Rattus norvegicus: one gene and its partners. The protein of the gene in region 1 purifies or fractionates together with the protein of each later gene. This does not show direct contact. Links are inferred from orthologs where the notes say so. Each region holds a gene or a part of one and is shown in the gene's direction. Other genes may lie near its edges.

Region 1 (3,510 bases):
TTAAAGATTTTATTTTATATACGTGAGTACACTGTCACTGTCTTCAGACACACCAGAAGAGGGCATCAGATCCCATTACAGATGGTTGTGAGCCACCATATAGTTGCTGGGAATTGAACTCAGGACCTCTGGAAGAGCATTCTGTGCTCTTAACCACTAAGCCATCTCTCCAGCCCCTATTAGAATCTTTTGAATCCATGAAATTTACTTTTGTAGCTCATTTCAATTCAGAATGGTCATATTTGAAGTACTCAGGAATCACCTGTGACTGGTAGCTAGCTGCTCTAGGTGGACTTTAAGCCATTTGTCTGCTTGGTGATAAAGTCAGGCTTTGGAGTAAATGGGAAAGTATGGACCAGACAGCAGTATCCCGACACGTCTTTTAAAAAAACCACAGTATTCTGGAGGCGGGATGATGGATCTGTGTGTTTAAGGGCAGCCCGCTTTGCATAAAGAGGTTCTAGACAGAGCTACATAGAGGGATCCTGTTTAAGAAGAGCCACTAGGGAGGTTACTGGAAGGTAGCCAGGATGAAATGTTTGTACTAAAGGATTGGGATTGTAGCTCAGTGGTAGAGCACTTGCCTAGCATAAGCCAGGCCCTGGGTTCATTCTCCAGTACTACAAGGACAGAGCCAAAAGAAGTAGTAAACATACAAATCTAAAATAAGAAAATTTTATGTACTTGTGTTTGTGGTACTGAAGAATGTTTTCTTCATTTTCACTTTGACTTGTATACTCTTCTAATGTTATTCAGTGGAATAATTAAGATTAAGTTAGATTTTTTTCCTACTCCTGAGTTTTACAGTTACATCTTTTTATAATAGATTAACTATGGTAGATTTATCTTTTTGCTTTGAGGGTTTTGTTTTTGCTTTTTTGTTTTCTCCCTGTGTCAGGGTTTCCCTGTCTGTCCTAGAACTCTCTCTGTACTTCAGGCTGGTCTTGAACTCAGAGATCTGTCTTTCCTCTGCCTCCTGAGTGCTGGGATTAAAGGTATGCTCCACCAGTACCTGGCGTATCTATTTTATTTGACGCTTGGGTCACCTTAAATGCAATAGTTTTATTTAGATTATTAATTGTTTTTGCAAGGGTACACTGTTGAAGAGCAAACCTAGAGACCCACACATGCTAGAGCCCTTCACAGCTTAGCTGTGTGTGTCCTTTTATTTTACATGGTAAATGTTTGCCTTAATGTGTGTATGTGCTCCATGTGTGTGCCTGGTGCCTGTGGAGGCCAGAAGGGGTTTCACATCTTCTAGACCTGGAGTGACAGATGGTTGTCAGTCACCATGTGGGTTCCTGAACTTGAGTCCTTTGCAGTAGTGGTCAGTGTCCTAACTGCTGGGCAACCTCCAGCGCAGTCTTACTGATTTGCCTATGCTGCTGTTAACCTAGGATCAACTGACCTCTCTGGTCAGCTTCCTGGATGACGGTATTATAGGGAACCCTACTAGGCCCAGCTACTTGTATTTTTAGCTGAATTATCATCATACCAGAAAAGAAAATCGTAAGATTGGTTTTTTTTTTTTTTTTTTTTGTCTTTTCTATCTAGGTTTCTATGATCAGAGATATCCGCGAGCGTGAGATTCGGATCTATACAGACGCAGGCCGTATTTGTAGACCACTTCTAATTGTGGAAAAGCAAAAGCTTCTTTTGAAGAAGAGACACATTGACCAGTTGAAAGAGAGAGAATATAACAACTACAGGTAAGATGGTGACTGAGAGAAAAATACGTGTAGTCAAAACCTGTGATGGAAAGTGTGCCATTTGTCTTCAGGGTAAGCCCAAGGTTGTACAGCCACTGTCACTGCCCAGTTTACGGTATCAGTGCTGGGAGGAATGCTACCATCTGTGGCCATATTTATTCTTCCTGGTTTTTGTTATTAGTTGTACAGTGGACTTGCGTGATTTGTATTGGTGTGAAAGTCTTTGGTGTGTTAAAATGTAATGGTAAATAACCTGTGTGGTGCGGAACATGTCCATATAATGGGACTAATATATTTTGGGGGGAACATTCTTGCCGTATAGGCCAGGCTGATGTGGAACACACAGTGAAATCCTTATTGCCTCAACTTCCTGAGTACAAAGAATATAGATAGTGTGCTACCACTCCTGGCATAAATAAGAAATATGCTAGAAAAAATGAGCTTGTTTTAAAATTTTACTCTAAATAATATCATAAGTATATTGTAAAATAACGTGTAGTAAAAGAGTGAGCATTCTCACTTCATATTTGCTGGTTTTGTCATAATTTTTTCATAATGTTCTTTTCACAAGTAAATATGAGTAATGGGTGGATATATGTATTCTACAAGACCTTATTCTGTTTTATCTACTTTCCATCCTTACTTCACAAGTATAGTTTTTTTTTTTTAAGAATTATTTATTTCATGTATGTGAGTACACTGTAGCTGTGTTCAGACACACCAGAAGAGGGGGGTATCGGATCCTATCCCCGAGCCACCATGTGGATGCTGGGAATTGAACTCAGTACCTCTGGAGGAGCAGCCAGTGCTCTTGTAACTATGAGCCCACAAGTATAGCTGTTTAAAACAAGGTGAATAGCAGCCTAATAGTGTATAGCCCGGCAGCCTTTTCACATTAACAGTCATGTCTGAATTCTTTCCTTGTTAGTACAAACACAAATGGAAGTAATTGTAAAGCAGTAGACTTTGTATTAAGTTATTTCATGACACTGAGTGAACTTTTTAGTTGGCAGGATCTGGTAGCCAGTGGGGTAGTAGAGTATATTGATACCCTGGAAGAAGAAACCGTGATGCTTGCAATGACTCCAGATGATTTGCAGGAGAAAGAAGTAGCTTATTGCTCCACCTATACCCACTGTGAGATTCACCCATCAATGATTCTTGGCGTCTGTGCATCTATTATTCCTTTTCCTGATCATAACCAGGTTGGTTGTAGTTCTGTCTTGTGATTTGTAAAGAATCGGGGAAGTAATCAGTACTAGGGATTAGTATGTCATCTCATCAGGGTGTGAGCACCTACAGACTCCGCTGTGTGACTTGTGTATTAGTCACTTTTCTGTCCCTGTGGTAATATGCCACGGCCAGAGGCAACTTAAAGATAGAAGTTTATTTTGGGTTCTGCTTCCAGAGGAGATAAGAGTCCATGCTGGAGGAGCAGAGGCAGGGGAATAGTAAGCAGTAATCCTTATCCCAAAGCATGAAGCAGAGAGCAGGGTGGGGGATAGCGCATGGCCCCTAAACTCAAAGCTGGTCCCCGTGATGTGCTTCTACTAGCAAGGCCACACTTCCTGAACCTCTGGGAACAGCACTGTTCCCTGGGAGCCAGGGTTCAAATCGCCGACTTGGGGGCATTTCCCATTCACCACCAGTTTTCTTGCTCCTGTTTTTGTTGAAAGCCATAGTGGTTATTACCTGTCTGAGAAATTCATTGTCTTTATTTTTTGTTTCTCCCGTTAGTCCCCTAGAAACACGTACCAGTCTGCTATGGGCAAGCAGGCTATGGGAGTTTATATCACCAACT
Region 2 (4,310 bases), on another chromosome or scaffold:
AATCCTTACTTGGTGTCTTTGGGATGGTTAGGGATAAAACACTAAGCCTGAACGCAACTGGGGAGGGAAAGGGTCTATTTTGCTTACACTTCCACATGGCTGCCTGTCTTAGTTAAGGTAACTATTGCTACACGTGTGCATATATAGGGTTAGAGTTGGTGAAACAGAAAGATTGGGGAGGGAAGGGTTTATTTGGCATATATATCCACATTTAATGAAGTCAGGACAGGAACCAGGGCCAGGAGCTGATGCAGAGGCCACGGAGGGTCTTGTTTACTGTCTTGTTTCTCCTGGCTAACTCAGTCGGCCATCTTAGAACTCAGGACCACCAGCCCAGGCGTGGCACCTGAGCCCTCTCCCTAGAAAACCAGGCACCTTGGACGCTATAGGCTACAGTTTAGGCAATTCATTGAAACAACCCGTAACAACAAAGGCCTGTTGGATTTGCAGAAGACGCAGTCACGAGTATACGCATCTTGATACAAACATGTTCACACCTCAGGTCATCCACTCAAGTTTTATGAGAATGCTATTTTAAAGGTTTCAGGAATTGCGAAATCCCCAGTCAGAGTGTCTCTTGGCTCCCATTTGTAGGCTTGATATGTGCATCAAGCAGGATCTGATGAGTAATTAGTGCACAGCAGCCCCAGGAGGAGCGAGCAGGCGAGGTGGACATCCTTAATCCACAGTCTAATGCTAGAAACTCCACTCTGAAAAGCGCCGCAGTTGCAAGCAGCCACTGCGCACACTTCTCTGCTGCGTAGCCGGCTAAAGAAGGATCGAGTCTAGGCCGCGACCTGCGCTGGAACTCGGTCTCGTTAAGTCCAGCATTCGCAGTGCTTGACGGGAGGATGAGCAAGACCCGGACCCAAAGTCTCCAGGCGTACGGACCGCTCTGCGGAGGGAGACCTATAGTTTCTCCATGAAAACCTCGCAGTGCACGACGGGAAAGGTGGGACCGAGTTTCGTGATGCATGCTGGGACTGGTAGTCTCTCTTGACGTCAGGACTACAATGTACTATCCAATACAGCGGTCCGCGCCGAATGCCGGCGTCAGAAGACTCCTGTGGTTGGAACTCGCAGTGTACGACGGGAGTTGCCATAGACACGCACTGTATGCCGGAACTGGTAGTCTTGATGCGTCAGGACTAGCAGTGTGTGACAAAAGTCTTGTGACAGCGGTCCGCGTGACATGGCTGTAGTCTCCATACCACGGACTGGCGCCCCGTAGGTGTGGACCAGCGCCTCTTGGCTCCGCGAGGGCCGAGTGTTTATCCTTATCTTGAGCGCACGCAGTCACGCGGATGCACGTCGCCTGTCCCGCCCTCCATGACGCAGCACGCCCCCCGGAAGTGGGTGCGCAGCGAGCGGCGGGTGAAGCCGGTGTCGGAGCGGGAACAGCAGTGTCGCCGCCGCCCGCGGTGGGCGCCGCGCCCTGAGCGCCCGGTGTTTTCGTTTCTCACCTCTGTTGTGACCGTCCGTGCCGCTCGCTGGGTCACGATGGAAGCGCCGCCCTTGGCCGGCGTTCCCACCGAGTGCACTCCGGCGGTGGCCGGGGCAGAGGTGCGCTGCCCGGGCCCCGCGCCGCTGCGTCTGCTGGAGTGGAAGGTGACGGCGGGCGCGACCGTGCGCATTGGCTCGGTGCTGGCAGTGTACGAAGCCGCAGTCTCCGCGCAGCCCGCAGGGCCAGCCCCGGCTCGCGCGGCCTCTGGGGGCTGCGTGCGCGCCTCGCGGACAGAGCGCAGGCTCAGGTCGGAGCGCGCCGGCGTGGTCCGTGAACTGTGTGCGCAGCCAGGCCAGGTGGTGGCCCCTGGGTGAGTGTACTGAGAAAAGGGACACCCGGGCTCTCAGGATGTCGGGGGTGTGGGGTGGATTTCTGGCTACAGTCACAGACTGGGCGTGAAAGCTACGCTAAGGGGCTGCGGGGTGAGACCATAGAAAGAATTGTCACCATTAGTGATTTTGCCAGCCCTGAGATATTTTGAGTTTGAAAACTTCTCGGTGACCCAAGGTTACTACTCCCTTTGGGATATCTTTTGCCTTCGTCCCTCTTCTGTAATTGGTGGACTCCACCTTTGTAAAGTGAAGGCAACTTGGGTGGCTGTGGCCGCGGGACTACTCAGGCAGGTTCCAGGCTCGTTACAGAAATAGAAGCTGTCGGGCGTGTGTGTTTCTACAAACGCTTATAAAACTTTGTGAAACGCCGTTGTAAAAACCCGGTGGTTCTGCAACATAGCCACCGAGAGGGCAGAACCCAGACTGTATCGGGTGATGTACTTGGTCCTCGAAGTCCTGTGAGGACTCTTTAGTTGTCAAACTTGTGTCCTGTCTCTGTAGGATCTTGGTTTGGTTCGGTTCGATCTGCCACTGTCCAGTTTTATGTTCGAGTTTTGCCAGGGTTGTGTTTTGAACCTAAATTAACACGTGGGCATGTGGGTCACGTGGCTGTGATTGTTTTGATTGCTAAGAACAAAAACTACTGGGAGAAGTGAATGCTCCTGCCTACTGTGGGTTGGGCTGAGAACTTCTCTTTGAAGACTATTCTTTCTGCTCCTTTTCTGATGCCCACTGCTCACTTCTTGGACTGGTCAAGTCTCTTCTTTATTGAGTATTTCCTGTCTAGCATTCTCCACAAGGAAAATTTCTATTTTCCACTGATCTTGTCATAGACCGAGAACCCCGCCTGGCTGTCTTCCTGGTCAACTCCCCCTAGTGCTTCTTGGAGATACTGCCTGGGTTCTTGGTTTGTGGACCCTATCCGTACCCCTGCCCACTGGTTTGCTGGATTGCACAACCACCAGGAAAACTTGCTTCTTTGGGACTGACTCTGAGGGACCTGTCTGTCTGGCTTCCTCTGGAAGTGATTCTTGGGATCCTGGGTGACTCACAGTGGCTACCAGTCCAGTGGTGTCAAGTGAGTTCCTGCTTCTGGGACAGTCACTAGCAGCATCACTTTATTTAAAATGCTTCCCTCCCTTTTCCTGTTATGTGCATTTGTGGACAGCATCTTGTCAGCATTCTGGGGAGGAGTGTAGTGAGTTGACATGTGTGCTTCCTGTACTGTTCCTGTATACCTGAAGGTACGTGGGTGACAGGAAGAAGCAAGTTCCAAGGCCTGGACTTAGCTCCATTTGTATTCCCTGTGTCAGTCCTGATAGTTTCTCTGTAATAAATGTCAAGGGCGTTCATAGGTGTCTGGGCGTGGACCCAGGGCTCATAAGAAGGGTAGTACTTTCTTCCCCAGCCACTGGCTCTTCCGGACACCAATTAGGCCTCCCCCAAAATGCCTGTCATACTTTTGCGGAACAAAGTTTAAAAAGAAATCACTGGATTGAGTCACTTTGTACAAAGATCACCATGCACAGAATTGTCTTCACAAGGCACAGCCTGAAGAGCAGCATCCCACTGAGCAGATCTGTGCAGGGCAGGCAGCGGTCGGTCAACAGAGTTCATCATCCATGGTCCCTACAGGCTTTCTGTAGCACACAGTTACACCTAAGTAGGCCTTTCCCCCACAACTTCGCTATACAGGCCAAGTGTCCTTGATCTTACATTCAAAATCTAAAATATTCCAAGGTCTAAAACTAGGGCATAGATGCTCTTGTGTTTTCTAGTGCTTGGCATGTGAGTCCTGTGCAAACACGCCACACTCCAAATAGTCCTGAAACAGCAGCACTTCTGGTCTCCAGCATTTCGAATGAGGGATTTGAATATTAGGAAGTCTTTCTAAAAGGCATCCGTATGTCTCTATTTGAGAAAACAGAGAGTAGTAGATACCATTGGATCCTGGTGTTGAATTGGACTTGCCATGACTGGTAGACCTTGGTCAGCAAAGACCCGTCTGGCTCATACACACCGCGTACGCTGAGCCAAAGCCTTCCGTTTTTAGATTTCTGTGTCTGGCTTTGGTGCAGCCTCATCCAGCATCTGTTCCATCACAGAACTTCTTCACCCCAGGTGGGGGCAGGAAGGGAGGGTGTCAGGAAGGAGCAACCAAGCCTGATAGCCCTAGAAGTTTGCTTCTTTCTGAGCATGTCTCAGAATCACACTCAAGACTACTTTATAATGAACTCATCTGAGCAGTCCTGGAAGTTTGCTCATGATCTAAGTTCTGTTCGTCTAGCAGCACCACTTCTGTCAGTGCTGGATTGCAGATTCATATTCTTAACATCACATGGGAGAGCCAACATTTACTGACATTTGCATTAAACCTTTGTAGAGTGATTATTGTATGGTGGTTCTTAACCTCCACCCACAACATGCACTTTATATAGACTTATGATTGGTGGATTCAGAACTGTTTTGAGGAG
Region 3 (4,293 bases), on another chromosome or scaffold:
AAAATATTCGGAGGCTTTTTTGTTTTTGAAATATTAGGAAAAGCCCAAACAACAAAGCCTGATTTTTAAAACGTGCCACAAGCATGTCACTTCAGATGCCTAGCAGGACAGAATTTCAGCGTAGAGAAAATCCGGAAATGCAGAGCCAACGGGAGAGGCCCTTCAAATACCTAGTCTTAAAAAGGTCTCAATGTTCCAAATTCAATTCATATTTTAGGCAGCGGGTCTTGCAGTTCCCCAACTTCATATGAGAACAAATCTCCAGACTTGCAGGTGCAGATTGAAGACTTTAGGTAACGTGACGGGCTGAGAATGTTTTCCGACACAATACTGGCAAAGACTGAGAGGCGGGTTTCCCAGGAACCTATCCATTCTCTGGGTCACCTGCGAAACGTGGTCATCCCTTTTCACTTTTAAAACGAGGGCAGTGGATTGGGGTTTGGAAAGCCCCTTTTATTTCTTAATATAGTCTAGTTAGTGCCTTAACAATTTGAAGACGGAACTAGGTTGGAGAGGACAGTTGCTTTACTAGTCTACATTTGAGTTCCGCTTCGTGTTTGCAGGGCTGGCTTCCTCTTCGGTGGATCCTCTGACCAGCTAGAGCCGGAGCCGAATGACTGGCCGGGATTAATACCAGGTCATAAACAACCTCTCACTTCCCCTCCCCCTGGGCCGCCCCAAGGCCCGGCCTGCTGCCGCCGCGTGGGCCTGCGCGGTCCCGTATCCTTCGTCAGTTCACCCTTCTCGGCCCTGCACTCTTAATCACGACACAGAGCCCTCACCCACAGGTTGGGGGCGGCTTCCACTTCCCTTCTCCCGACCCTGTCACGGTGCACAGCCAAAAGGCCGGACGCCCTGACACACACGCCTACAGCCCGCTGCCGCCCTACGCGCGCTGACGCAGTCCCCGGCCCAACCCGCGGTGCTTCCGCGGCCTGTCCCCGCCCCTTCCCGGAGCCCGCCTCCCGGCTGCGGGCCTCGGGCCGTCCGCCTCCCCTTGCGCTGGTTCCAGCGTGCACCCGCTGCCCCGCCTCTGCGCGTGCTCAATAACTGTCCTCTCAGTCGGCCTGCAGGCTTCCCCCGCCCCTGAGCTGTTTGAATATGCTAATGAGGCTGTAAGGACCAGCCAATAGGGCAGAGGGTCTCTGGATCACATGACTCGAGTACGTGTCAGGGGCGGAGCCTACGTAGCCCCTGCCCGAGTTAAAACCGGAGTGTGAGAGAGAAAAGCGCTTCAGTAGCGAGAGGGGCTGAGAAAGTGGTGACACCGCTGGGGTGCGGAGGGAGTCTCTCAAACTTCTCTCAACAGCCCCAGGGCCAATCTCCCCTCAGCCCACTCCCCTGTTCGCCAGATCCCTGGTCCCCACTCCCTGCACTGGGGGTGGGGTGGGGAACTGGGCCCGTCTCCCGCGGGGACACACACAGGGGCCGGGAGTGGGGACGGGACCCCCAGGCCGGGGGGGACGGACGGACAGACGGCCGCGCGGCCGCCCCAGCGGGCAGGCAGGCCGGAGGCGGGGGTACGGCCGGGTGGACCTGGGCTGGGGAGTTTCCTCTCAACTATCGGGGGAGAAACTCCCCATAGCCGGTGTTTTCCTCCCGGGGGCCGCGTTCCCCGCCCCGCATATCGGCGGTTGCCGCCGCCGCTGGTGCCTCCACCTCTGCCATCTCTTCACCACCTCGGGCCCCGGTGTCCCCGGCCAGCACTATGCCCATCTTACTGTTCCTGATAGACACGTCTGCCTCTATGAACCAGCGCAGCCATCTGGGCACCACCTACCTGGACACGGCCAAAGGCGCGGTAGAGACCTTCATGAAGGTACCGACTGACCGAGCCCGGGTGGCGACCCCGACCCGGTGGCCCGCGGGGGGCAGGGCGGGGGGCAGCGGGTTTACTGCGGGCTCCGCGGGCGCGGGGACCCCTCCCCCACCGCGCTGGCGGGCGGGCGGGCGGGCGGGCGCTGGGAGCGGGCTCTGCTGGGCCTGGCCCATGTGGGGCTGCTGTGGGTGCGGGGGGCGGCGGAGGGACGGCCCTGCGTGTGCGGTACTGTGGGGGCGGCCAGCGACCCTTCTGTGACTGGTAACCTCGCCTCTGTGCTTCCCTCTCTCCCGCCTGTCCCCACCCTGGCCCGCAGCTCCGTGCCCGGGACCCTGCCAGCAGAGGAGACAGGTATATGCTGGTCACTTTCGAAGAGCCGCCCTATGCTATCAAGGTAACAGCCCTCGCCCTCCCCCCTCCCTTCCCTGCTCCTTCCTAGCTCGCCCTCCCCGCCCCCTCTTCATTATGCTCCCCTCCCCCACCGCCGCTCCCGCCTCCAGGTCCCTTCCCCGCGGCCTCCCGCCCCTCCCCAGCTCGGGAGCGCCAGCGCGGTGGCAGTTTCTGGCCCACCGCCGTCCCCTCCGGGTCCAGCTCGGCCTGGCGGCGGAGGCGCTACGATCAACATGGCCGACATTTCCCCTCCGCGGCGTGAGCGGCAGCAATGAACTGTGGGGGATATTTATTCAAGTTAGCCCGAGTGACAGCGGGGCCCAGCCTTGCCTTGCCCGGTTTTGCATTAAAAGGGAATCAGCCAAGCTGGCAGGGAAGCCAGGAAGGGGGCTTCGAGACTTGGTCATCACTGAGTGGAACTAGGAAGGCCACAGATCGGTGGGACAGCTGTGGTCAACTTAAGAAGTCCTGCTGCCATCTGCCTTCCACTAGCACCTTCGAAACACCCACCCCTTACACACAATTTGGAGGATGTTATATTAGCAAATTTCCCAGTTGAAGTTATTAAAGTATTAAGACGGTTGTTACTTAACAAAAGGTGTAGGGGCGAGCAGATTGATTCTTGGCCACCTTTGGAAGAGTTTCCTCACCAGAGACAACAGTTATAACACATTCCCCAAACTGTATCAAGCAAAAATGAAGTTAAATATACAAACCCAAAATGGAATACCTGCTTAGTGGACATCACATTATAATCGGTGTCCATGTGTGTACATGGCTTCAACTGATAAAAAAAAATCTTACATCTTTCTTTTCAGGCTGGATGGAAAGAAAACCATGCAACGTTTATGAATGAACTGAAAAACCTTCAGGCAGAAGGACTTACGACTCTTGGCCAATCCCTAAGGACAGCTTTTGATTTGTTAAATTTAAATAGATTAGTAACTGGCATAGACAACTATGGGCAGGTAGGTTGAATACTAAGGTAGAAAAGAGTTGTTTTTATTTATGTGTACAAAACCACAAACCAGTCCAAAAGTATGTAACCTGGAATGCAAGTATAAAACATTCGAGGTTGAAAAACAGTGCACACAGTTCAAAACACCTAAGGTGTATGGTCTTACATCCCCAGTCCCCCTTTAAATGTATCTGCATTCAGAATTCAAACCTGAATTCTTGGCTAGAAAGTTGACACAAATTTGGTTTCAGTCCCTCAAAGTTCATAAAAGACACACAACGGAAGATGTCCTGTCTCAGTGTGCTGGTCTGAAATTTCTTGTAGGCACATATGTAACTATTGAATAGGTCACAGCCAGTATTGCCTCTGTATTATAGAGATGTTGGGCAAAATGATTGTTAGCCGAGGGTTTAGTTTAGCCTAGACGGTGTACTCAGAAAGGCAAGGTTTTACCATAGAGTGCAGTAACTGGTTGACTACATTCATTATGAAGCTGAAAATAAATGGCAGATTCTTAATTTCTAAAGTTTAAAATTCCAAGACTGTGGGAAGATGTTTCCTGGAGAACCTGAAAGCCTGCCTGTTTTCCTGAAGCTCCCCATAAGTCCTTTTTTTCATCTGTTGAGGATAGGGCAAGAGCTTCAAGTCACAACAGTCATTCACCACAATGTCGATAACTTTTATGATATTGCTGTCCTAGAAATACAAGATAACCAAAGAATATGCAGTGGTGTACACAAGGAGTAATATCACACCCAAGGATTTCAGTATGCAAAGCACTATTACCATAATGCTATATTTAGGAATATATGTTATACACTTTTCCCAAGTTCCATAATGCACAGTTCTCATGAATTTTGAACATGTTAAGGAAAATTTCCAGTGACTTCAAGCTATATGCCTCAATTGGGAATAATTCTTAAACATCTTTAAAAACTAGTTGAATTTAGTCCTTATAGCATTTAAAGTATGCATTACAAATCAGGCTTATCTGAAAATCATTTCCATCATTTAGGTAACTATAGTAACACATTTTTTTGTTGCTTTATTTTATAATTCTTGCCACTTGTTGGTCAGTTTCTGTAAAAGCATTTTTTTCCTTTGTTATATGTAGTGCTGTTGTCTT
Region 4 (4,066 bases), about 65 Mb from region 1:
GACTTAATTTACATTTTCCCTGTGACACACGTTTGCTCCAAAAAGAGCACTTACACTGAAGTAGGTACCTGCAGTTAACCCCTTACTGATGTACATCCGTGGACCATTCTCTACTTTTATCAAGTCAACACAGAGAAGACACTCAAAAGGATACACAATATTCAGGAGTGATCTTACAAGCGATTTAGGAATGCAGTCAACACCTGTTTTGAATGTAGTTTTGAGGGTATTTAGTTAATTTGAAATTCACTATAGTAAAACGGGGGTTGGGGGACGCTTAACAGAATAACTCTACGAAGGAAAAAAATGCACTCATTTATTTTAGTTTTGAAGGGGAAAATTCGGTAGGTTAAAAAGGATAAGCCCTTTTCCTTACCCTTATTTCTACATTCCTTGATTTCAGGTTAAAGCGTATCTGAAGTCCTAAATGTTCAACAATCGGGGTAAATATCTTCATCCAGTTTTCTTTTAATGGTGTGTATCTGTTAGCTGGGACGGGAATTTTTCTCGTTTCTTCTTTCCCAGTCTGCAATAAAAACAAACACACACTCAGAAGGCGAGTGGAGAGATGCGGGCTGGAAAGGTGAAAACCGAGAATAGACCCTTTCGTCTGCCTGGGCCCCGCCCCGTCCCATCCGGATCCCCACCAGGAGCTGATCTCCCGAGAGCGGCGGGAAGACCGGCCTCTTCGCCGGCCGCGCCTCCTCCGTGTCCATGCGTCCAGCGTCTCCATCCTGTCCCGCCGCTGACGATTGCTCAGCCTGTCGCTTCTTCGCCCGGCGGCCCCCTCTGTGCGTGACGGGAGTAAAGCCGTCCTCCGTCCCGGTGTTTTGCGTCTCCATCTCGGCCATGTTCAACCCGGATAAGTGCAACCACTGGAACACGTGCGAGGTTGTGCCGCGCATGCGCCAGCCTCCACCAATCAATTTGAAGGCTCCGCCCCTTTTCCGAGGCGGGGTCCATGCGGGGGGCCTAGGGCAGGATTGGTCCGCGGTTCGGAATGGCTGCCCTAGAATATGCCTGTTTGCTAATGTCTCCGTGCCGTCTCGCGCTCGCAGCCAAAGCATTCACATTCTCTAATGTGTCTATGTGAAAACGTTGTGGTAAAGGCGGTAAATCAGCTTGTGCCGTGTGTGGAGAAGTATCTGGTGCGGTCTCAGCAGCTCACCCGGCATTTTCGGAGGCAGCCAAGCCCAGCTTGCTAAGGCGTCCGGGTTGAGTGCGGCTAGGGAGGGACAAACTGCCCCTGAGATGTTTGCAGTTTGGTTACCAGGTTAGCGTTTGGCTGCTTCTGCACCATGTCCACCTTCGAGAAGCCTCAGATCATTGTCCATATTCAAAAGGGCCTCAACTATACAGTGTTCGACTGCAAATGGGTGCCCTGCAGTGCCAAATTCGTGACGATGGGCAACTTCGCCCGGGGCACCGGCGTTATCCAGGTGTACGAGATCCAGCGCGGGGACCTAAAGCTGCTGCGGGAGGTGGGTGCAGGCTTGGATCTGTTTGGGTTTGCGTGGGTCTGCATCTCTCTTTGCCACAGCAGAAACAGAAAGGAGATTACAGATTGAGGAATACTTCAGAGTTAAAACTTTAACATCCCAAAATCTCCTTGCAGAGCTAGTACCTCGGCTCACTGCCAGCCTCTGCCTCTCGCCATTCTCGGTGCAGTCGATTGCAGGGTTTCTGGGAAGCCAAGTGGACATTGCTTGGCAACGTTCGAGGACCATTTAGGCTGTTGGCAATTGTTGTAGTCTACTAGTAGGTCTATGTAATAAACCCACGTGCCATGCCAGCAGAACCAAATGAGGCACCAGCAGGAGACCTACCACGAAGTTGGTGAAGACTAGTAAATACCCCATTCTTTCACAAAGTGTCAGTTCAATGCCTGGTAAGGCCCAGACATGGGAATTGCAATGCCAACGATCTTACGGAATTTATTTTCTGTTGGGGGAGACAGTCAAACAGCCAGACCAAGGATGCATAATGTAAATCAAGATGAGTTTTCTAATACACAGGTCTGTGAAAGTAAAAACAGATTTAGGATGAGTAGTAAGCAACTAAGGCAAATGCAGAGTAGAATATGACGTTTCCAGAAGAAACAACATGAGATAGTGGTGGAAGATCGTTATCTTTTAAAAAACAAAAACCCAAGCTGGAAGTGGTATTGCACAACTTTAATCGCAGCGTTCGGGGGTAGAAGCAAGAGAATTTCAGTTTGAGACCCTGTTTGCAGCGATCACAACCCCTGTTAAAAAAAAATTACCATACACATATAAAAGGGGTAAGTAGGGACCATTGCAAGATCTGTAAGACATTTAACAGATTTGTCCTTTTTTTTTCTTTAAGAAAAGCAGGACACCACTGAAGAACTTTTAGGAGGATAATGAATGACCAGATTACAGGTTTTGTAAAAGGCTGCCAGGTAGCCAATTACAGAATGGTGACAGTAATTGACATTTTCCCCCTTCCTTCCCCTCTCCTCCCCTCCTTTCTCCTTCCCTTTCCTGTACATGTTTTTTGTTTTTTTTTTTCCCTGCATGTATCTGTGTGTACCATATGCAAGTGCACCTGGTGTCCCAGGAGGCCGTAAGAAGGTATTGGATGCGCTGGAATGGAGTTCCGGTGGTTGTGAGTTACCTTGCGGGCCATTCTGCTCTTAATCACCAGGTTGTGTCTTCAGCCCACACTGTTCACGCTTTAAAACTCTTTCTTTCCTTTCTTTCCGAGATGGGTGTTTTCTGTTATCCAGTTGGCCTCAAACTGTTAAACCAGCTTCTCAGGGGGCTGGGATTCAGGCCTGGAGCCACAGTGCTGAGTTGTGGCTAAGGAACAATTTTATAGTTCCTTAAGGTTTTCAGAATGTTTCTATTTGGGTTGACTGAAACAGATAACAGTTTGTTGTTGAGGTGCTGAGAGTTGATAAGAAACTAGGGCAAGTAGGAGATAAATAAACTTGCATGGCAAGCTATGTGTTCCTTCCCTGAGCTTTGCTGAGAGCCTGTTTTCTGGTTTAGTTCCAACTCTATAGCCAGGCATTGGACTTGGAGATTCTAAACATGGTTTGATGCTTCCCGCCTTGCCTTGTGTTCCTCACTGCTTAACGCGCAGTCAACTCTTGCCAGTCCAGGGGCCAGTTCGGATTATCTGATCTCTGCTCAAGGAACCTTTCAGTACATTCCACTCCTATAATACTGACTGTCTGTGGCAGAAATAAACAGTCTGCCGCATAAGCCAGAAAGCAGTGCCTTCTCCTGTGCTTTGTAAAGACCAGTCTCTCAGTACACATTCATTCAAAGAATGAAGACTGAATGAACCTGAGACCCAGTTTTAAATACTGGTGTAGGGATTGCCAATCAGTGTTTCTGGTAAGGACTCTGAACAAGGAAGCATTGGCATAAGAGAAGCCTTAAAGTGAGGGCCAGTCAGCCCTCAGCCAGAAAGCATTTACAGGCTTGTGTTTTGCTTTCCCAAGAATTACAATTTTTTTTATATAGTTTAGTAATAAGTTATTCGAAGTGAAATAGTGTTTATCTCTTCTAATTTCTGAAGAATGCTAGCAAAGTCTTATTTATTTATTCATTTTTAGTGAAAGTAATATGTGTTTATGAGAGAACGTTTAGGAAATATAACTAGGGATAAGAAATTGTCATACCTAACCTGAACCACAAGAATGACGACTTTGATGTTTTGCTTCCTTTTCACTCCACTAGTAATTACTGAGGCTGCCATTAGAGGTACTGGGCTAAAAAAGAACATTTCTAAGGAACACGTTAGAAACAAAGCAACTTTCAGAACTTAATGTTGTATTCGTTTGCGCTGCAGCAGAAAAGCGTGCAGGTTAAATACAGTCAGTGGTTCTCACTGCATCAAAGTTTATTTCTGTGTTTGGTTGCTAATCATGGCTGTGTACAAGATTTAAAATACCCATGCCTTGCTTATTAGAAATGCGACCTTCTGCTAGTTGATTTTGGTGAGTGCCAGAGTTGAGAACTTTTGGACCAGGTAGATTACTTACCTAAATTTTAGGAGGCATACTCATTTTGTTATGATGAATTGCATCAAGACT
Region 5 (4,009 bases), on another chromosome or scaffold:
AATTAAAATTAACAGGTGTCCCGCAGCTCTCAGGAGTACATGTGATTTTCATTACCTGTTTCCCTTCCGTTTCATGTCTGGATTTTTAAGGTTACGACACAAAACGAAAGTTATTTCTCCCGAAGCCACTGTAATACAGTGCGCTAAACTCGGAGCCCGCCCTCCCACTCCACCTGCCGGAGACCACAGCCCTTATACTTGATATCCTTCGTTTCTTGGTTTGACCTAAAACTCACGGTGACCTTGGCGCTTCCCTTCCTCCTCGGTGAGGCGTTCCTGTTTTCCAGTGGCTGGGGTGCAAAGCAGGGATCGTTCCGTCCGCTCCGAATGCGGAGGGGACGATGCTGAGCGATGGTTCCGCATCCTGTTGTGCAGACAAAGACTGGCCACCTCCAGTTCGCCTCTCAGGAGGGCTACAAGAGCGGTGCTTCAACGCAAGGCCCTGGGTTCGGTCCCCAGCTCCGAAAAAAAGAATTAAAAAAAAAAAAAAAAGAGCGGTGCTTCTTCTTGAGTTCCAGCCCCTCGTGGATGCACAGCCAAGGTGTCAGCGTCGCGCATGCCTTGCAGACTCGAGCCCTCGGCGGAGGCGGCAGCTCCCATACGTGCCCTTAGGTCCCAGCAGCGCGCGGGTCACATGGGGACACTCACTGCCCTGCAGATCCGCGCCTGGGGCCTCTGCAGCGGCGACGGCTGCGCCTAGATTCTCCGAGCTACTCGCCGCACGGGTCTCAACGCAGACAACCGCTGCCCTTCTTAGTGTCCCTATGGCCGCTCCAATCCTCTGATTCCTCAAAGCTAGAGGTCCTCATCCGGTGGAGGGTCTTACCATTCCGCAACCCCAAAGCAGTTAGCAGGAAGAGCCGGTGTTCCAGGACTTGGCATGTGAGCTTCCGTTAGGAAGCCCCGCCCCCTAGTCCGGAGTGGGCGTGACCTTCGGATAGCGTCCGTTGCCACGCCCAACCGTCTCCCAACGGCTCTCTGGATCCGGCCTTAGAACCCGGCGGCAGGACCTGATAAGTGCGCATGCGTGCGCGTGCGCAGAATCAATGGGCGGGGCTCACAAGCCGGCCCCTCCCAAACCCGGCGTCTCCACCCGCCCCCATCTCCCAACCTCCTCAGCGTGGCGCCGACGCTGCGTGCGGCGCGGGTTACCCAGAGTGCTCAGCGCGGGGGCAGCTCACTGGAGTTTGGTTCTCGAGGCGGCGGCGGCGGCGGTAGTGGCGGAGGCTTCTCCGTCGGCTCCTCCTCCTCCTTGCTCGGCGGTGGCGGCGGCGGTCCGGGGCCTGAGCTCCGGTCCCCTCCGCTTTCCTCCGTCCTCCGCCATCTCCCCGAGCGCCTCGACCTCCTCTGGCGCCGCGGGGAACATGCGGCTCCGTTCCCGGAGGCCGGCGAGTGACTGACCTGCGTCCCCCCTCCTCAGCCTGCCCGCCCGCCGGCCCGGCCGCTCCCCCCCGCTTCGCCCAGGCAATGACAGCGGCTCCGGCGTCTCCGCAGCAGATGAGGGACCGGCTGCTACAGGCCATCGACTCCCAGAGCAACGTAAGTGACTGCCGCGCGATCGGGGACCGAGGCCGCATGTGTCGGGACCCTCCCCCTCCGACGCGCCCCTGCCAGGGGTTCTCTCCGGGCGGTGATCTGCCCGCCACGGCCGCTGCCATCTCGGTGTCTCGTTCTCCTGGGTCCGGAGGCCGAAGGCAAGGCGGGTACCCCGGCAGCTGAGGGTACCTGAGGCCGAGGCTTCACGCGGCCTGGACTGAGGGATCGTTCGGAGCTTTGATGAGAGCTGGTTCTCCTCGGTTGTCCCAGCCCGGCTGCCCTTGGTGCTCCCCACCGTGCCCTTCTTGCCTCACCCCAACCCCGGGAACTGAGAACCCCCCGGAAAGGTCTCCCTGCCGGGGGACAAGGTAGAAAGCAACTGGTGTCTCCGCGATGACTCGGGTAGCCCGCGTCTCTGGAGTCTTGGCCTTTACTCCCCCTCGGTCTTCTAGCGAATCCCCTTCTTGGATTCGTAGGGAACCCTAGGCCTGTTCTGCCATCAGTCTGTCTTCCTGTGATGCCTGGAGAGTATCCTCTCTTCTGATAGTGGGTCGCTTCCTAGAAAAGACGACTCTGCAGAGAGTGGGACCCTTCCTGTCACCTCTCTTGGCCTAAATGCTCCATTGCGCGTCTGACCAGTAGCTAAAGCCTGGGATTTTAGTACTGAAATACTGCCGATCACAGTAGATTGTTCTCTTATCCCTATCTTCCGGTCCTCTTTCCATCTCTCTTGCTCCACCTGAGGTGCTTTGGACTCTAGGCTGTCAAGATTTAATTGTAAGGGATCACACTTTCCTCTGTCAAGAGTCCTGTGAGCAGTAGGACGCCTTTTTTCTTCCTGTGTGAGTGTAGACTAATTTTACTTGTTCTTGTATTTTTTCCAAAGGTTTGTTGGCAGTGCAGGGGGCGGGTGTCCTTGTTGCTGTCAGGAGTAGGGCCATGGGAAGATGCACAGGCATTCAGATATGAAGTGTTTGCTGGGAAACCAGGAAGTGGCTTTTGAGATCACTTTTTAATATGCCCAGGATGGAAGAAAAAAAATCATCTTGGACCAGGTAACAGAGGTTTGAACCTTTTTGGGTTCCCTTGCCTATGCTTGGCTAGTTACTTGTAGCAATGTGCTGTATTGTGTGTTCAGAATAATTCACATTGTTTGTGTGGTCTTGGTAGAAATAGAGATGTTCTAGTTTCTATGAGAATCTACTTGCCAGATTCAAAATTATTCTCTTCCTAGTCTTTAGGATCACGTCGATAGTAATTTAGTAAATATTGTAGACTTTTTTTTTTTTTTTGTGGTGGAATAGAGACAGGCTAGATAAAAATCTTCTAGAAAACCTTTCTTTTTTGGGGGGCGGGTTTAAGGGTTTTTTGTTTTGTTTTGTTTTTTGCCAGTGATTGGTAATAGCTGACTAATCACATGATTGATATATTAGGATATTAAAAGGTAAAAATAAGTGATAGGAAAACATAGCCTTGATGGCTTTTGCATCTTTGCTGAAGCTATAGTGTATAGTGTAATCTTTTTGATGTTGTTTTTCGAGAAGGGTTCCTCTTCTGTGTAGGTCTGGCTATCCTAGAACTTGCTCTTTGACCATGCTGCTGGCCTCAGAGATTCTCCTGCCTTTTCCTTCTGAGTGCTGGGATTAAATGCTTGCACTATCACTGCTCCTCTCTTCCACATTGTAAATCTTACACCTGTGTAACTCCTTGCTGAGATCTTCTCAGAGATCCTGACTGCTTGCATGTGAGAGTGTTGGGATCAGCAAGTGCTTTGACAGGTAGTCATGATGTTGTAGATCAGGTGGGGTCCAAGTGCTAGGTAAGGGTCTGACTAAAAGACCCTTTGGGGATAGAAGAAGGAAGATAGAGGGCCCAAATTTTAGTTTGTGTCTTTTTTCTGAGACTGTCTCTGGAAGTCACTATGTATGTAAACCAGGGTGTCCTCACAGAACCTGTCTGCTTTTACCTGCTTTAATCCCAAATGCTGGGATTAAAGGTATGTGCCACCATGCTTGGCCTCCAACTTTAGTTTCTTGAATCTTCCCTTGGTCCTAAGTGCTCATTGGCCTGTGAGTAAGTTGCTTGGAGTGTGTATCTCAAAGGGCTGTAGTGATAGGAGACCTTGTTGTGGCTGGAGTTGAGAACTTATCTCTGAGTGAGGAGGGGAGTGTTTCCCTAGATGCAATGTGTCAGTGACTATCCACAAAAACAACTAGGTATATGTTCTAGGGGCTAGCTTTGCAGAATCTCTTTGTAGAATCAGCCTGGAGCACTGTCCTCCATTTCTTGCTGAGGGGTGCCCGGCCATTTGCATTGTCTCTGTGATTGTTCAGGGCCCAGGTAAGAGCCGCATGTTGGTGCAGGGATCTCTGCTCTTGCTCTGATCTGCCCAGTTATGAGCTCCACCACTTGGTAATTGACACATATTTAGGATGTTCATGGAAAAAATACAAAACGGGGACAGAGTTGAAGA

The links.
Region 2: the proteins of Polr2b (region 1) and Ctdp1 purify together in Homo sapiens (affinity purification with mass spectrometry; 3 studies listed by BioGRID and IntAct, with this or other methods). This does not show direct contact. The link is inferred for Rattus norvegicus from reciprocal best matches to the Homo sapiens genes POLR2B and CTDP1.
Region 3: the proteins of Polr2b (region 1) and Ints6 purify together in Homo sapiens (affinity purification with mass spectrometry; 3 studies listed by BioGRID and IntAct, with this or other methods). This does not show direct contact. The link is inferred for Rattus norvegicus from reciprocal best matches to the Homo sapiens genes POLR2B and INTS6.
Region 4: the proteins of Polr2b (region 1) and Dnaaf10 purify together in Homo sapiens (affinity purification with mass spectrometry; 3 studies listed by BioGRID and IntAct, with this or other methods). This does not show direct contact. The link is inferred for Rattus norvegicus from reciprocal best matches to the Homo sapiens genes POLR2B and DNAAF10.
Region 5: the proteins of Polr2b (region 1) and Med26 purify together in Homo sapiens (affinity purification with mass spectrometry; 3 studies listed by BioGRID and IntAct, with this or other methods). This does not show direct contact. The link is inferred for Rattus norvegicus from reciprocal best matches to the Homo sapiens genes POLR2B and MED26.

What each region holds. Positions count from the first base shown.
Region 1 is NC_086032.1:31,165,215-31,168,724, reverse strand, and holds part of Polr2b (DNA-directed RNA polymerase II subunit RPB2), read left to right. Parts: intron 1-1,554; coding exon 1,555-1,709; intron 1,710-2,715; coding exon 2,716-2,914; intron 2,915-3,446; coding exon 3,447-3,510. UniProt on the Homo sapiens protein: Catalytic core component of RNA polymerase II (Pol II), a DNA-dependent RNA polymerase which synthesizes mRNA precursors and many functional non-coding RNAs using the four ribonucleoside triphosphates as substrates.
Region 2 is NC_086036.1:76,187,399-76,191,708, reverse strand, and holds the start of Ctdp1 (RNA polymerase II subunit A C-terminal domain phosphatase), read left to right. Parts: upstream 1-1,500; coding exon 1,501-1,814; intron 1,815-4,310. UniProt on the Homo sapiens protein: Processively dephosphorylates 'Ser-2' and 'Ser-5' of the heptad repeats YSPTSPS in the C-terminal domain of the largest RNA polymerase II subunit. This promotes the activity of RNA polymerase II.
Region 3 is NC_086033.1:41,175,305-41,179,597, reverse strand, and holds the start of Ints6 (integrator complex subunit 6), read left to right. Parts: upstream 1-1,483; 5' UTR 1,484-1,708; coding exon 1,709-1,819; intron 1,820-2,135; coding exon 2,136-2,213; intron 2,214-3,027; coding exon 3,028-3,177; intron 3,178-4,293. UniProt on the Homo sapiens protein: Component of the integrator complex, a multiprotein complex that terminates RNA polymerase II (Pol II) transcription in the promoter-proximal region of genes.
Region 4 is NC_086032.1:95,819,016-95,823,081, forward strand, and holds the start of Dnaaf10 (dynein axonemal assembly factor 10), read left to right. Parts: upstream 1-1,256; 5' UTR 1,257-1,298; coding exon 1,299-1,481; intron 1,482-2,015; exon of another isoform or gene 2,016-2,556; coding exon of another isoform or gene 2,557-2,667; intron 2,668-4,066. Other genes in the region: RNA-binding protein PNO1, read right to left, coding at 377-526, 648-851. UniProt on the Homo sapiens protein: Key assembly factor specifically required for the stability of axonemal dynein heavy chains in cytoplasm.
Region 5 is NC_086034.1:17,332,571-17,336,579, forward strand, and holds the start of Med26 (mediator of RNA polymerase II transcription subunit 26), read left to right. Parts: upstream 1-1,199; 5' UTR 1,200-1,467; coding exon 1,468-1,539; intron 1,540-1,563; exon of another isoform or gene 1,564-4,009. UniProt on the Homo sapiens protein: Component of the Mediator complex, a coactivator involved in the regulated transcription of nearly all RNA polymerase II-dependent genes.